Linked DNA regions of Arabidopsis thaliana. The protein of the gene in region 1 interacts with the protein of each later gene in a biochemical or structural test. Each region holds a gene or a part of one and is shown on either strand. Other genes may lie near its edges.

Region 1 (8,043 bases):
CTCTACTTTCCTGCCAGCAACAATGGAGGCTACGTGTGTGCCGTGTCCCGTCACGTCAATCACCGATTTCTCTTCAACCCACTTGTACTTTTCTTTTTTCGGGTAGTATGATCTAGCCCCAACGATCTTGCTGCAATTGTAGTTTATGATAGCAAGATTAATTCTCATACTTAATTCCAACTTTCAAGATTCCTAACCATGTCATCTTGAAAAGAGAAAATCATACATATTTTTGTTTTATCATAAGTAAAGGTTTATTATAGTACTTGTTGCAAGTTATGTTTTCGCATTTGTTTTCCCAACCAGGAGGGGGAGGGCTATCGCTACCGAAGAGCTCAGAGTAGGGCCAAATGCCGGAATCGATGACAGCCACAACCAAATCACTCTCATTCTCGGGATTTCGCTCAGCTTTTAATGTTAGATTCATGAAGTCCCATGATCTTGTCGTTTGAAGCTTTAGGTTTCTGCTACGTGAAACTTCCAATACTTCTCTTCTCCCTATATCAACATTAACATAACCCGTGTGTTATTACCACGTCCCTACTATGCATTGATATCAATCTATATAGCAGTAGGCTATAATTCTACATTTTTTGGCTTTTACGTCATTGCGTGTTATAGTATTGTACTGATCAATTGTATAAAAAAAAGGAAATGCAAACGTGACGAAACAGTTGTGGTCTTACTCATCAGCTTTTGCCGTTCTCTTGGTGTGAGACTTGCCGAGAAACCGGTGAAGCTCTCCTTATAGCTGTAGATAAATGCATCCGCTAAGGTGCTGCATGTGTTAACATAGAGGATTGGCTTCTTGGGAAATTTGAACCAATATATCTCATCAAAACCTATATGACTTAAAGAATAAGGCATAATTAAAATCAAACCTATCGTCGTCAAGAACTTCGCCTAGTAGTTCCTGGTGACCGGAACTTGACCCATATCGATGTCCACCAACTTTCATCTGCACAAGGTATGTCTGTACCATAGAAAGCAAGAAGTTATATGTTAAAATTCAAACATTCGTCGTTATATGTATCTCCAAAAAAACGTTACGCTATTAGTTAAAGAAGAAAGGTCCATTTTTTCTCACCTTTCGCGAGTCGTTTGCTTCCGCAAAAGAAGCAAAGAAGAAGAGTAGCAGTTGAAGAAGAAAGGTATGAAAAGCTATAGCCATCCCTCACTCACTCACCAGAACAATCTTTCTAATTCTTTTTTTTTTTTTTTTATAAGGTCTAATTCTAATTCTTTTTCTTTAAGGCTTTTTTTTACTGTCAACTTTCTTTTAAAATTTATTTGACTCTAATATTCTTAAGTTTTGTTGCATTGCATGTTAATGCTTTATGTCTCTATTTATAGAGAAATTTCATGAAGGATATTGGGAGCGAAAAAGGACTAATGAAGAAGAAAATTGGAGGAGAAGATTGAAATCGAAACATTTCATAGTGCAGACGCTCATCAATCAATTTAAAGAATCTTATTCTTCGATTATGAAGCTGCATGCTTTTTTTGGTGATTCTTGAGAAAGTCCATGATTTTTTTTTTTTCTATGTTACGATAAAACATGAGTATACGGTATTGATTCGAGTGAAAATCAAGAAAACTTGAGGGTCTACGTTGACGCACATATATATGTATGCTTGGTTTGATGAAACTTATAACGTCCACATGGTCCACACTCGCGCACAATGTGGTCAGATAATAACACTAAACCTGTACATTCATGTTTCAATTGTTTGTTTGTGTTTATTACGTTCGTGTATATTTTCTTACTTTTCCAAATGAACCACAAGTTTTAAGATTTTTTTTTTGCTAAACTTACACGCTGAAAACAATGGTCGTATACGACGAACGCTTGTGTATTCAATTTACAAAAATATGAAAATTAGAAATAATTATATTTCAAAATTGATTTTTTTGTTTGTTTGAGTTTTGAGAATAGTATGAAATGGTCATAATCTATGTAGGAACTAGGAAGTCTAGAAGAATATGACATGGTCACAATACTATGTAGGAAATGTTTGAGGATACTATGATCAAAGGATACGTTTTGTCCAACATCTTCTGGTGAGGAAATGGACTAAGAATATGAACATATTCAAAGATAGGATAATGACATGATATGTGTCTAAAGAATTGGATACATGTGGTTTTGGTTCCCGTTTGCAACCCAAAAAAAAAGTTACTTTTACGAACTTATCGCTTCCGTGTTTACTTCTCATCCACAACAAAGAACAACATAAAATTTCAGTCCCTCCAATTATTATATTCTATTCTATTTCCCGAGTCCACCAAACGGATCATATATCACTTCACTCACGATCATACCAAAACCAGTGGACTTTACTTTCAATAGCTTCTCAAATTCTTCTTTTACTTAAACATGATGAACATGTGTGAAACTTGTTGTCCAATTTAGATGCTCATTCGATATTTATGATGGTTAATTGAAGATGTTCATATGCGTTACTTATGTCTCATTCACTTTCACATGCCGCTTAAGAGACGAAACTCATCATACTAAACCTTTTTTATAACATCATTTTCATTTGGTGTCCTAAAATCCAAGAAACGACCATATGCATGTACACACCAACTATGTGATCCCAACAGGCAGATGAAAATCATGTAAAACCCATAAAAGAAGATAGAAAAAAAATGCTGAAAGTGAATTTGGGGGAAGAAAGAGATTAGAAGACTAAGAAGGTCTTGCTCCTTTCCAAGAGTTCTCACTACCATAAGTACACACTTCACAGCCAAATCTTCAATGGTTTCAATCAATTTCTCAAGAAAGACCAAATCCATCTGTGAAAGAAGGAAAAGCCGAAATCAAGACCCATTTAAGTAAAAAGTTTAGCCTGGAAGAATCCAAAAGAAATCATGTTCAACAGAAATGTGAACTTGACTTTGTAATGAATAACATGAACAAATCAGTGCAAGAGAATCCTTTCATTCACTAGTTTCGTTTTGGTTTCCGCCAAGGACAGACTATTGACTAACCTCAATGAAAGTATCAAATCTTTGTGGACATCATGAACTTGGTCTTCTTCTCAGCGGGCTTCAAAATCTGAAACGAGCACATAAGGTTCTCGTCCACGCTCATCATCGCACCAGCATTATCAAATTCACCACAGTAGTTAGGAGCTGAAAACACCGTCACAAGTTGTCTATCAGCAAAGAACTCATACCCATCCTCCACGACCTGCCATAAAAAATCCAACTCCCTTGTTAACATCACAAAAGCAGTAGTATCAAAGAGACATGATTGAAAAATATCTACCTGATGGGCACGACACACAAGATCTAAATCATGTTTCGTAAGAAACTCGGAAACTTTATCTGGACCAAAGGTGTATGAAACACCTCTATCATTCATTCCCCATCCTTTAACATCTTTCCCAGGATCAGACCAGAGCAAATCACAGAGAAGCCCGGTATCCGGAATCATAGTTGGTCTCGGCAAGTTTCTAATCTCATCCAAATGGTCAAGATCCGGCGAAAGTCCACCGTGCATACACAATATTTTGTCATCTATAAGCGCCGCAACAGGAAGGCAGTTAAAACAATCAGTAAAAACCTTCCATACTCTCACATTGAACCTCCTTTTACACTCATCATAAAATCCATATATCCTATTGATAGAAGCACATTCGTGGTTTCCCCTTAGTAGAAAAAAGTTGCCAGGGTATTTGATCTTGTAAGCTAGTAAGAGACATATTGTTTCAAGACTCTGTTTGCCTCTGTCCACATAGTCCCCAAGAAATAGATAATTGGCACTAGGAGGGAAGCCACCATACTCAAATAGCCTCAACAAATCACTATATTGCCCATGTATGTCACCTGGTTTAAGACATGTACACCACAAACCATAAGGAAATCACAGAACGGGATAGGATTTTTCATGAACACACACAGTATCATAAGCAACAAGATAAGCCTCTCCACTCAATCATTATCCACAAAAAGCCAAAACATTTCTCACTCAGATTCTAGTCACTTCACAACATCAAACAAAAAGGTCTCACAATGGTCTAACAACTTTATCCCCAAAACCTAACCAAGTTCACACTTTTGGAAAATCTAAGAAACACAATAAGAACCCTAAAATCAATTCCGACGAAATTATTAAAATCAACGAATCAAATTGGGAAGATACCACAGATTTTGATGGGAGCCTCAAGCTCAAGTAAATTGGGTTGCTGAAGGAAAATATCTCTAGCTGTAGTACAGAGCTGTTTGATCTCAGCTTCAGAGAGCTGGACTTGCTTTCCTGGTCTAGCTAACCGGACCTCCGTGAGTCGCCTGATTATATCATCGAGAACCGCCGAGTCAATCGCCGTTTGCTGCCCCTGCGTCGTCGTCGTCGTCGCCATCAACAGAATCCCAAAAAAAAACCTAATTTTTTCGACCCCAAAAAAGAAAAGAGCTAATGCAAAATAATCAGTGAGAACAAAATAAAGAAGAAAATTACGCGCAAAGACTTTCGAGATTTTTTTTAGTTCGAATTGATTTTTTCAATGAGTATTAATTAAAGTATCAGAAACGGAGATGGGGACGAAATTAACACCTTTGAAAATTGAAATAAAAGAAACTGAGAAAATAACTGACAAGTTAAAGAAGAAAAGATGAGGGATACAGGACGACGTCGTTTAGTGAAATTCCAAAACGGGCTTTAGCTTAATCGGTAATGGGCCGTTTATGAGATCTAACAAGTTGTTTAGTAGGTTCGTGTTACTTTTGTGTACTAATCAACCTAACAAGTAATTCAAAGAATAAATGTGGTAACTTCAATCAATCATTTGGGATTATTAACAATGTTTCGTACCTATTTTTTTCTTCTTATAGTTGTGTGAATAATGATGTGTTTAGTATATTTATAAGAACACGAAGGATGCAAAATGTATCATTTACCAGAATTTTTTCATCCTTTTTGTAAGGAAAAACTATAGTTATGTAATTCTACATAGAAAATGAATTGGTACGGTTAGAGATGTTGTTGTGGGTAAAAAAGCCCAGCCCGACCTGAATCCAAAATAAATCCGTCCACCAAAAACCCAACTTTAAAAAACCCAGATGGATTTTTGATTTAGTGGGTAAAGCCCGAAAAAACCTGATTGTTCCGAGACTACCTGTGGGTACCCAACTTGATTTTTATTATTTTCTTATAATTTATGTTTAATTGTTAATATACTATTATATGTATGTTGTATCTATATTTTGCTTATAAATATATTTTAAATTATATTTATTTTTTGTATTACATATATATTTGATGGGAAAAATGTTAAATTGCGTTTTTGGCGGGAAAATGTTAAATTGCGTTTTTTGACGGAAAAATGTTAAATTGCGTTTTTGGCGGGAAAAATGTCAAATCCTTTTCTTGGCCGGAAATGTTGAATGTCGTTTTTGGCGGAAAAATGTTAAATTGCGTTTTTGGCGGAAAAATGTTGAATATCATTTTTGGCGGGAAAATGTTAAATTGTGTTTTTGACCGAAAAATGTGAAATCTTTTTGGCGGAAAATGTTGAATGTCGTTTTTGGCGGGAAAATGTTAAATTGCGTTTTTGGCGGGAAAATGTGAAATCATTTTTGGCGGAAAAATGTTGAATCGCGTTTTTGGCGGGAAAATGATGAATTGCGTTTTGGCGGAAAATGTTGAATGTCGTTTTTGGCACGAAAATGTTGAATTGCGTTTTGGCGGGAAAATGTTGATTGTCGTTTTTGGCGGGAAAATTTTGAATGTCTTTTTTGGCGGGAAAATGTTGATTTTTTTTTTGGTGGTAAACTGTTAAATCGCGGTTTAGGAGAAAAAAATGTGAAATCTTTTTTGACAAAAAAATGTTGATTCACTTGAAAAATGATTTTAAAAAAAATCGTGGGTACCCATAACCCAATGAGGTAAACCCATATGTGTTTTATTTATTTGGATACCCAGCCCATTTTAAACCTGTGTTTTATTTCCAGAAAAAATAGATCTATGAGCTTAAAATTTTATGTGTGTTTTGGGTACCAGTGGATTTTAACCCATCATTAACATCTCTAGGTACGGTACTCTAGTGGTGGCCTACATTGGTTGATAAAGTCATAAAGTCAATATCGTTTAAACATGCAAATGCAAATTTTATGGACCGGATTAAGTCGGAATGATCCGTATGTTGAGGCTTGAAAGAGCCCATCAATGCAATGGAAAATAGTCGTCTCTTTTCTTTTCCTTTCTTTTCTTTACGATCATAAAGTTCTCTTTTTTTTTGGGTGAATATTGTAAAGGTTTTGAGTCATTCTTTCCAACTCAATTCCACGTTTCTCATCTCTCAAGGCTTTTTACTACAAAAATCTTTACAGATACAAAGTTAGAGATTTATAACAACTTGGATAAGATGTCTCATGCATGAGATAAGAGAAAGTAAATTCTTGTATTTTAGGTGATTAAAGGAATAAAGACATATGCAGCATTTTTGCATCGGCTACTCAAACTCAGCTAAATTCTTCGCTATATATATATACTTTATTTTGTTACAATAATTGTATCAGACTAATACAACTTGATCCATGTGTAGGAAAGTTTCAATAAGATTGATCGTTTTTATGTTACCAAAAATAAAAAAAGATTGATCGTTTAAAAAGTCATTCTTAACAAGAAATAAATACTTGTTGAACTAGAAGTCTAGAACAAATACATTTGTTCAGACATTTTAAATTGTAAGATTAATTACATTCACAAAAAAAATTGTAAGATTAACTGAGGAATATAATGATGTAATAGGAAACTAACGCAAATGCTTAAAATGTTTTAACATTTTCATGATGAAAAATAAGTAAACATCTTTGGGGGTATAGATACTTAAGATAAAATATATAACTTGACAAGAAAAAAGAAAAGATAAGCATTTTCTTTAAATGAGAATTCCCAAAAACAAGCAGCCTTAATAGAAAATAAGTTATGGATCGTCCATACAGAGATCGACTTTAGCAAGTTGATAAAGAAATGGTCAGATCTCAAGGTGGAAACTGTTGCTGAAAAAAGCTAGATTTGATCTGATGCTGTCTTTAACCCAAAATATTAATTTGATCCCAAAAAAAAGGTAATTTAATCGAAAGAAAGAACTTAAACATGACAATAGGTTAGGCTTTTGTTCTGTAAAAATTGGGTGTCTGATTCCACTTTGAAGCCTCTCTTTCACCTTTGCTGCGTCATCACCGGTCACGACCTTCCTATAGATTGATGCCTCAAATTATAAATAACAATATTATTATTGGTCCGTCGTTTGTAATGTCATAAAAGCTTAATTCCCATTATAAAGTTGTCTGTGGTAACGTTGCAAAAGCGCATCTTTATCGTGTATTAGAGTATGACCTTTGTTAATACGCCCATATTATGTATAGTGCAAACATTGTTATACTACTTCTCATGGATTCATGAGTCGGATATTTGAAACCCAAAAACAATTACAAGAATCATACAAATTTTGAAACTAAAGTTTTAGTTAAAAAATAAAATGACATATCTTCAATGTAGCTATAGATTCATTAAAAACTCGGTGAGGGTATGAGACCATAAAAACAAAAACAAGGAAAATTTAACAAAACCAAAGTTTAAAGGCAAATAGTTAGAGCCGATGGAACGAGCGTCTCCATCAAAACCCAAAAAGAAGAATTTTTTTTTGCTTTCGTTTACAAATCTAACTTTTTGGTTTTTCTCCCCAACAAAAAAAAAAAAAATAAAGTGTAAAAAGAGAGAAGCTTAAAAGGTTTCAACTATCTTCCTCCTCCCCACACCGTTGCTTGAAGGATTCTTCCGCCTCAGCAAAAACCAAAAAGACAAAAATATTCTCTTAAAAAAACATCTCTTTCTCTCTGTTCCTTTCCTTTCAGAAGCTAAGCATCTCTTCCTTTTCTTTTTCTCTTTTAATTTTTTTTTGCCCGATCTCTTCTGCAAAGATTCTCTCTTTCTTTCTTCTCTTTTCATTTATGTTTTCATTCTCTAATAACAAATTGTAATGACTTATAACTTCTTCTTCTTCTCCCCTCTTCCTTCTTCTTCCTCCTCCT
Region 2 (8,053 bases), 7.1 Mb from region 1:
CCTAATACAGAAGGCCCAAATAGCAATGGTTAAGTACTTAAAGCAAAGAGACATGTTAGTGAATATCCTAAATGAGAGTACATGAAAGTTACCTCAATGTAAGCAGAGTTAATTGCTCGTTGAGCTTCTTCAACAGCAGTATCAAACCCAAAAGTTTTATCCATATGTAAAATATCATTGTCGATGGTTTTTGGCACACCAACTACAGCTACCTTTATCTTTCTTTTGCGGCACTAGAATTGAAAGCAAGAATGTGAATGGTAAATCAAACTAGACAAACTAAAGAAAAAGAAAAAGAAAAAATATCTTCACACGAACTACACTTAGTTAGTTTCAAGTGTTAAGTAACGAACCTCATTGTGTATAGCGTTGGCGCCAGCATGAGTTCCGTTTCCACCGAGCACGAAAAGCATGTTGATTCCTCTCTCCTAAGTAAATTCAATTTTCAGAATTCAGAATCTGTGATCTCATAAAGTTCCTTAAGGACTGAAAAAAACTAAATGATACCTCCATGCTGTCGACAATTTCACTCACACTCGGGCCTCCACGTGAAACTCCAAGCAAACTTCCTCCAGATAAATGAATATTCTGAACCACTTTCCTTGATAACTGAAAGCACAAAAAAGCAAACCATAAGCCAAAACAGAAACAGAGATTCGGGTTCCTTTTTCTCGAAAGAGCACAATCGAACAATACCGGCATTTCAGTTAGATCTTTATCAGAGAAGCCTCGATAACCGAAAGGAATCCCCACAATGTTCTTAACACCATAAATCTCAAGAGTAATGACAATCTGCAATGTATCCATACAACACAACAATCAAAGGTCTTTAGTAGGACTTCACACACACACACACACTGTTTCTATAATGCCAAAGTTTCAGATACAAACTCACATGTCTGATGACATCATTGAGACCAGGGCAAAGGCCACCACAAGTGATAATCGCAGCTTTCACTTCTTCCGGCCTGAAGTATATCTTCTCCCTCGGACCAGCACGGTGAATCCTAAAGATCCCATCACACCAATTATAACCAAAAACCAAAAAAGAACCACAAATCCAAACTCAAAGAAAGTCCAAATGTTTACCATTGTTCAACCCAAGAACAGTCATGATCAAGGCACTCAGCTCCAGCAGAAGTAGGTGAGGAGTAACTAATAACCTAATTTCCAAAACAAGCCAAATCAATCTTACAAAGTTCAGTAAAATAAAAATAAAAATCTGAAGTTAAACCTTGAGAAGAACTCTATCATTGTTATTAATGTATCCATGCCATTCTTCATCAGAAGGGTAACCACCAACAAAATCTTCCGTCGGAGACCTAAATTATCAAAACTCCAATTTAATAGATTTTCCAAAACCCAGAATCTGGTACCTCAAGCTAAAGTAGTGATCTGACCTCATCTTAAGACAAAACGTTGAACGAATGGCTTCAGCATCAGGTAAGACATCAGTGATGTGAGGTATGCTGAATCGTTGCTCGAAATCTTTCTCATACTTTAATTTCCAATCTGGATCGCTGAGATCGATCGATGAAGCTGAGGTTTTGCTGTGTTGAATCTCCGAAGCTCGCACCGAGACGCGAGATCGTGATGAGGGATTCACCGGAGATCTCGATTTCCGGAGGATTAAGGAGGTGAGTCCGTGAGAAGGAACGAGAGAAGAAGAATTGTTCTTGTAAGGAACGGAGATCCCGGAACTGATCGCCTGAGAAAGAGCATCCATGGCGAATAAGAAGATTCCGATCGGAGATCTTTTTGCTTAGTTTTCTCAGTCAACTAAGTTTTTTTTTGGAGGGAGTTTTTGCCAAATTTACAAAACAAAAAAAACACAACGACAGTGTTAGATCACAGTACTTTGGCTCTTTAGATTAACGAAGAAGTACGAAACAAAATCTAACTTCATTTTTTGTCTGTAATATTTATCACGCCTCTAAATATGTAAAAATCGTCTTCAACAAAATTAGTGACTAGAACTTCTGTGAATAAATTTCGAATTTAGTTAGTGATCTTTGGAATAAATCCTAATCAGATGCTCTTATAATTCGTAAGTTGAATCTGATTCGATGAAAAGATAATGAAATACTTTTCGAGCTGATAAACCCTTTAACACAAAAAAAAAAATACTTTTCGAGCTGATGCTTTGCAGAAGTCAAAGGAGTTGTGTATTTTGAACTTTATTGGGGCAAATTAGTAAATATCAAAAGTTGTGCGGCAATTTCGTACATGGGTGCGAGTAAATTTCGTTTCTTAGATCTACTGGTTCGGTATATTTTTCAGTTGTCACTGGTGGAAGCAATTTGAATCGGTTCTAATAGTCCGTTGTCCCTGGGACGTGTTGAATTCACATTTGTTGATCCTACTACCTCAGAGTTCTTCAACATAGAAACTAAAAGCAACTGCTATTGAATAAATTGCAATTAAGCTGTCTTCTCATAAAAATATCAAAAGATAAAACATTTTAAAGTAAATTTGTAAAATTCAGCTAGTTTCTGTAGTAAATAGGATATTGAGATTAAATGCAAAATAATGTAAAAATTTGAGTCTTCTGATATGACTAAGCAAGAAGAGGTGGAGATCAACATGCTTTTATGGTCATCAGTCATCCAGTTATGTATCACACCGACCTTAAAGCACCGGCTTGCAAAGAATCTTGCAGAGACGTGACAGCGCCGTCGTAGTTTAAAAAACCCATGAACCAAAACTCATGATTGTCTACCGAAATCACCTGTATGTACTTCTCTGCAGGATTGACTATGCTCGCTGATGGATTCACTGCTTTAAGTTGATGTAATGGAATTACTACCTATTTAAGAAGAAGACACAAAGTGTTCATCAATCATCAATGTAGCAAAGCTTATTACAATGAATAAGCAAATGCAATCGTATCGGATTGGTTTCGATGAAACAAGAGATGAGAAGCTGATGCAATCATGTTATTACTATCACAAAAAAAAAGTCCATGGATTTATGATTCCGTTAACAAGTCCAGATTATTTTTCTATCCAAATGAATCACTCTACGAAGGCTCCTTAGTTGATGCTACTAACAAATTATAACGAAACATTGTCTCAAGCATTGACCAGATAACCAGCCAACAGATTTCGAACAGTTAATGATCACAAAAGTAATAATATGGTGTCTTCAAAATGGCTATAATTCTGAAATGAAAGGTGTAGGACACATTACCTTGTAATAGCTCCATTCGGTTTGATCACCGTTTTTATAGGAGAGAGGGTTGTCACTACAGTAAGCAAGTTTGGCACTGGATATATATAGAACTCCCATAACTGGGCCAGCTGATGTTGACAAGTAACATGCAAAAGAATTTAGCAACTGTTCTTCGGGATCTGTCTCAAAGGTTTGTCGGAATATCTTCTCATATCCTCCTTCTGCAAAGACCTTTGTACTCTGTGCAATTCTTCCCATTGCAGCATCCGCAAAACTCGGAGCAGTTCTCACTGATTAAAAAGAGAAGATTATAAGATATATCAATCAGATAGATCTTGAATGAAAATGCTAGCGAATCAAACAAGTAAAGCACATCCAATCAAGGAAGAGATGAATTGCGAGTTCACACACAAACAATTGAAACGTATATTGAATCATGTTATTTTTCTCAGTCACCCAAATTCAAACTTTACGTCCATACTATGTAAATGCAGGCATTAGACATTTTCCCTCAAACTCCATTACTCAAACACTTACCCAGGAACTCATCTCTATCCATAACACGACCATGTCCCAAGCTGAAACTCATATCCACAGTTCTAGCTCCTAACTCACCAAAGGCTGTTTCTTCTTTTTTTTTTAATGTTCATCCAAATGTATTATCTAATCCAAGTTCCTAAAAGCAATATAGCAACTCTATCTGTTCCGGAGCATCTATTCAATATTTCACTTCTTTAACAAAAGATCTACTATATTTGAGCGCAAACATCCATTCCAACAATGCTAAACATAGAAGATCGATTCAAACATGATATGAAATACAAAAAAACTGGAGCAGTTCTCACTGACTAAAGTAGAAGATTGTAAGAGAGATCACTCAAACGAATCCTGAATAGAATATGCTAGAGAAGCGGACAACTAAAACACACCCAATCAAGGAAGACATGAGTTATAGAGTTCACACATGAACACTCTAAACATAAATTTAATCGTGTAAACTTTCTTAATTCCCCAATTTCTATAGTTTTAGCTAGTCATCAGACATTTTCCCTCCACCTCCATTGCTCAAACATTCACCAAACCACCAAGAACATCACTTGATTAGAGTGGTAATTCTTCAGTCCGCAAAAAGGCTTTTTGATCTCAAAACTAGGAGCTAATTCCCTACTACTTAGACTACATCACGAATGACCATGTCCGAAGGTCAAACTAATATCCAGCTCTTAATTCGTCAAATGGCGTTTTTGATTAATGTTCACCAAAGGCATTAAAATTCCAAGTTCCAAAGAAGTAACATGGCAACTAATACCTAATCCAGAGCACCTAATTTCAATCTGATATTTTATTTGTTACCAGACAATCTACTAAAAACTTGACTGCAAACATCACACAGAGAAAAAACAGCTTTAAGGTTATTCCGACTCTCTTATAAACACTTGTCATGGGTCAAGCTACAAAGTTTGACAGACTGAAACTGGGAGAATCTTCTTGTTCAAATCCAAGACAGAGATTTTTTAATTACTGTGATCACAAACTTGACAATATCAAAAGATCATCCTCTAATACCGAGCAGATGTGGTATTAATCTTGGTTCTGGAGACAAATCGAAGGCAAGAGATCCACGTAGAACAATTGTGATTCTAAACTATTTATGAAGATAAACCTGAGAAAAACCGAGATATTTCTTCCAACACAATATGATTCCATAACTAAAATAGTCCGTTTACTATTCTTAGCAAGAACTCAACAAGATCAAAGGTCATTGTCTTTTAATGTACTGCCTAAAGACTGAAATTCAGGGGAGTGTTCTGTTTGTAATTAAGAAAATTTATCAACACAAGCCAGTAAGAACGTCCCATTTTATAGCAACAACATGTTGAAAAGAGATCAAAGAATTGAAGATCATAAAAATACACTTGAGCACTATCGAATATGATGATAGTTACTCAATCCTAAAACCAGTACTAACCTAAACACCAACATACAACAAAGGAAGAAAACCATAATACAGCAAAAAAAATCTTTTATGTTTCTCTAAAAAAATGTAGACTTTGAGTAGAACAAGCTACTTTTAACAATACCCTATGAACAATTCTTGATTCCACAGAACTCTAAGCATTGAATTTGATTACAAATTGATATTAAAAAAAAACGAAAACTTACGGTGTTGCCATGTGTTCCCGGCAAGGCTCTCCGTCTTCTTTGCTGCTTCTGCAACCCTCTTTCCCCATCTACCAAGCACTCCTTTCACAGTCTCCATCGTATCTGAATCCAATTCACAGACACAGAGAGAGATCCACAAAAAGGTAAATAAGGCTACAATACACAATCTCAATTCTCACCGCTACGATCACAACACTCTTACCTTTCAACGAAGCATCTGAAGTCTCAGCTGGAGAACGAGCAATATACGGATTAGATCCAGCCGAAGAAGACGATGCAGCTTTCTGATCCGGTTCCTGAGATCCAGACACCAATTCGGGGCTCCAATGTACAGATTTCTTCGATCCAGACGATGTTCGACTCGGAGCTTTCACCGGTGTCGAATCGCTTCCCTTCGTCTCGATTTCAACCTCATCGGACAAGGCTATCTCAGTGTTCGCATCCTCGACTCCCTTCGTTTTCGAATCGACGACGCTTAGCGATGGATCCTTCACCGGGACCTCAGTCTTCACTACGGTATCTCCCTTCGGCGGCTCCATAAATTGGTCTCCAAAGACGGATCGTGGCGAGTACGGCGGCGCGTGAGATAAACGGTTTGTTTGAGTTTGAATTTTGCAAGGATTGGTATTGGGACTAATGGTATCGTTCCCTTTGCTCTTTTTTTTTCTTTGGTAATTTTTTTTGTGTTATATATATATACCAGTAAATACAGATTTGTTCCCTACATTACATATGATGATAATTATGATACCTTTGATTTTCTTTGTTAGACAATTATGAGGTATGACTAAGATCAATAGGGACATGAACATAAGAGTCTATGTTTTTTTCTATGTAAGATCAATACCTTTGATGTTTTGAATTTAAAAAGAGGTTCAATGTATGCAATATATTATCAGAAAATGTTTGAGGAGTAATATGAGTTGTATAGACTTCACACGTTCTTCACCCAACTACCTACTACTGAGATTCACATAGATTTGATGAACGGTTAAGGACACTAAATCTACAGGAGACAATATCACTTCTTTTACCTATAATACATTGTCATATAGCACTCGGTCCCTTATGATAGCTAACCGAACCAAATTTACATACTTAGCATCTCCAATCCCACTTTAATTTTGTCCTCTAAAACTCTATGATATAGTACATTCTCTCCATCCTCATTCTATATGTTACTTTAAAATAGAGAAAATTGTAGGATTACTCTATATATAGAGTGATAGATTGGAGATAAATCATACTCTATTCTAGAGGAAATAATAGAGATCATTAGAGTGGTCAATTTACAAGACAATGAGAAAATGATAAAGGAAATGGACGAGAACTAGATAGTAATTACGTGTGAAGAATATAGAGAATTTGGCAGAGAAATAATAAATTGAGTGAACAAAAGTACACTTCTTAAAATTTAAGGAAAGTCTAGGTTTTATATTTTTGGAGGATCTTTTATCATGTTTTATAAACTAAATAACGTTGGTGAATTGATCAAAAAAATTATTTTTCTTTTTAGATTGTTTGAAGGTGGAAAAATATTTCGGTAGTCAATGATTTGATTAAAATAATTGGATTGCGGTTCCAAACTTGAGTTTCGTTGAAATTATTTTTTTTACTTTTTTTGCACTAAAAGATAGATTATATATGAAATTATATAAAAGTGGCGATTAACAAGATAATTCCATAAACTAAGCCGACGGATAACATGAAATCTTCTGAAACTAAAGCCCAAGAATATGGGGAGCTTACCAACACTACTGCTAATGGAGTTTTGTTGGACTTATATATCAGAGTTTATTGGTACAATCTACAATAATAACATCTAATGGAGTTTTTTTTTTTTTTTTTTGGGTAAATGACATCTAATGGAGTATTGATTATTTAATATTCTAAACAAAAAAAAATCAATTGAATATCTCGTGAAGTTTTTTAAGCACGGTGTATTTATTTAGAGGTTTCAAGATGTTCTATTTTCTTTAATGTATATAGATTATAAATTAAAATACTAATCAATAACTCCCCTTAGATCTTAGATTTTTTCATATAAGTGATAACGGAAAGCTACTTTGGGCTTGATAAAATACGAAAAGTTACGAGGTTAGGCCACATCCACGAAAAGCTAGAAAGAGAGGCCTGCCAAGGCCTCGTCCAAACTTGTACTACTAATCAAATTAATTAAAATTTCTTTATTGGTAACTTTTTAATATATTCATTTGGTCAAAGCTGGCAGGAAAAAAGTTTTCAACTTATAATTTTCTTATGAAGAAGATACTGATACAATGCATATTAAGGTCAAAGCAAGAGTCTAACAATTTATTATTCAAGGAATATAAATAATTGTTAGGTAGGTTCTTATTGAAATGAAGCATTTCACACCGTAATAATGATATAGCTGTAGAATATGAACAATGCGCGTTTGCTTGACTGTTTCGTTGTAAGTTTGTAACAATAATGGCCACCAAGTAATCTGTCACTAGAATATTGCAACAAAATAAAAACCATAAATATAACTATAATGATCTACTAATTTATTAATTTAATTAACATGAAAATATGACAGCTTTTGCCAGCCCTTGCTCGTATAATCAGTCCAGATAACACATTACAACGAAACATATAAAATAACTTTTTTCAACAGAAACGATTATAATATACATCTAAAATAATTAACAGTTGAAAATTTTGATAGACATACTATATATGAATATGAACTTAAATA

The links. The genes of interacting proteins can lie anywhere in the genome.
Region 2: the proteins of TOPP4 (region 1) and GEM form a complex in vitro, tested with the Arabidopsis thaliana proteins (one study listed by BioGRID).

What each region holds. Positions count from the first base shown.
Region 1 is NC_003071.7:16,623,754-16,631,796, reverse strand, and holds TOPP4 (type one serine/threonine protein phosphatase 4), read right to left. Parts: upstream 4,582-8,043; 5' UTR 4,368-4,581; coding exon 4,151-4,367; intron 3,835-4,150; coding exon 3,275-3,834; intron 3,197-3,274; coding exon 3,008-3,196; 3' UTR 2,995-3,007; intron 2,800-2,994; 3' UTR 2,385-2,799; downstream 1-2,384. Other genes in the region: AT2G39850 (Subtilisin-like serine endopeptidase family protein), read right to left, coding at 1-130, 267-498, 687-778, 882-973, 1,088-1,171. UniProt on the Arabidopsis thaliana protein: Serine/threonine-protein phosphatase that possesses phosphatase activity toward para-nitrophenyl phosphate (pNPP) in vitro. Acts as a positive regulator in the gibberellin (GA) signaling pathway to regulate plant growth and development.
Region 2 is NC_003071.7:9,539,343-9,547,395, reverse strand, and holds GEM (GRAM domain family protein), read right to left. Parts: upstream 6,269-8,053; 5' UTR 5,874-6,268; coding exon 5,537-5,873; intron 5,437-5,536; coding exon 5,335-5,436; intron 3,462-5,334; coding exon 3,190-3,461; coding exon of another isoform or gene 3,154-3,189; exon of another isoform or gene 2,807-3,153; coding exon 2,618-2,806; 3' UTR 2,358-2,617; downstream 1-2,357. Other genes in the region: PFK5 (phosphofructokinase 5), read right to left, coding at 1-1, 93-233, 354-428, 508-609, 697-792, 896-1,007, 1,090-1,163, 1,235-1,322 and 1 more.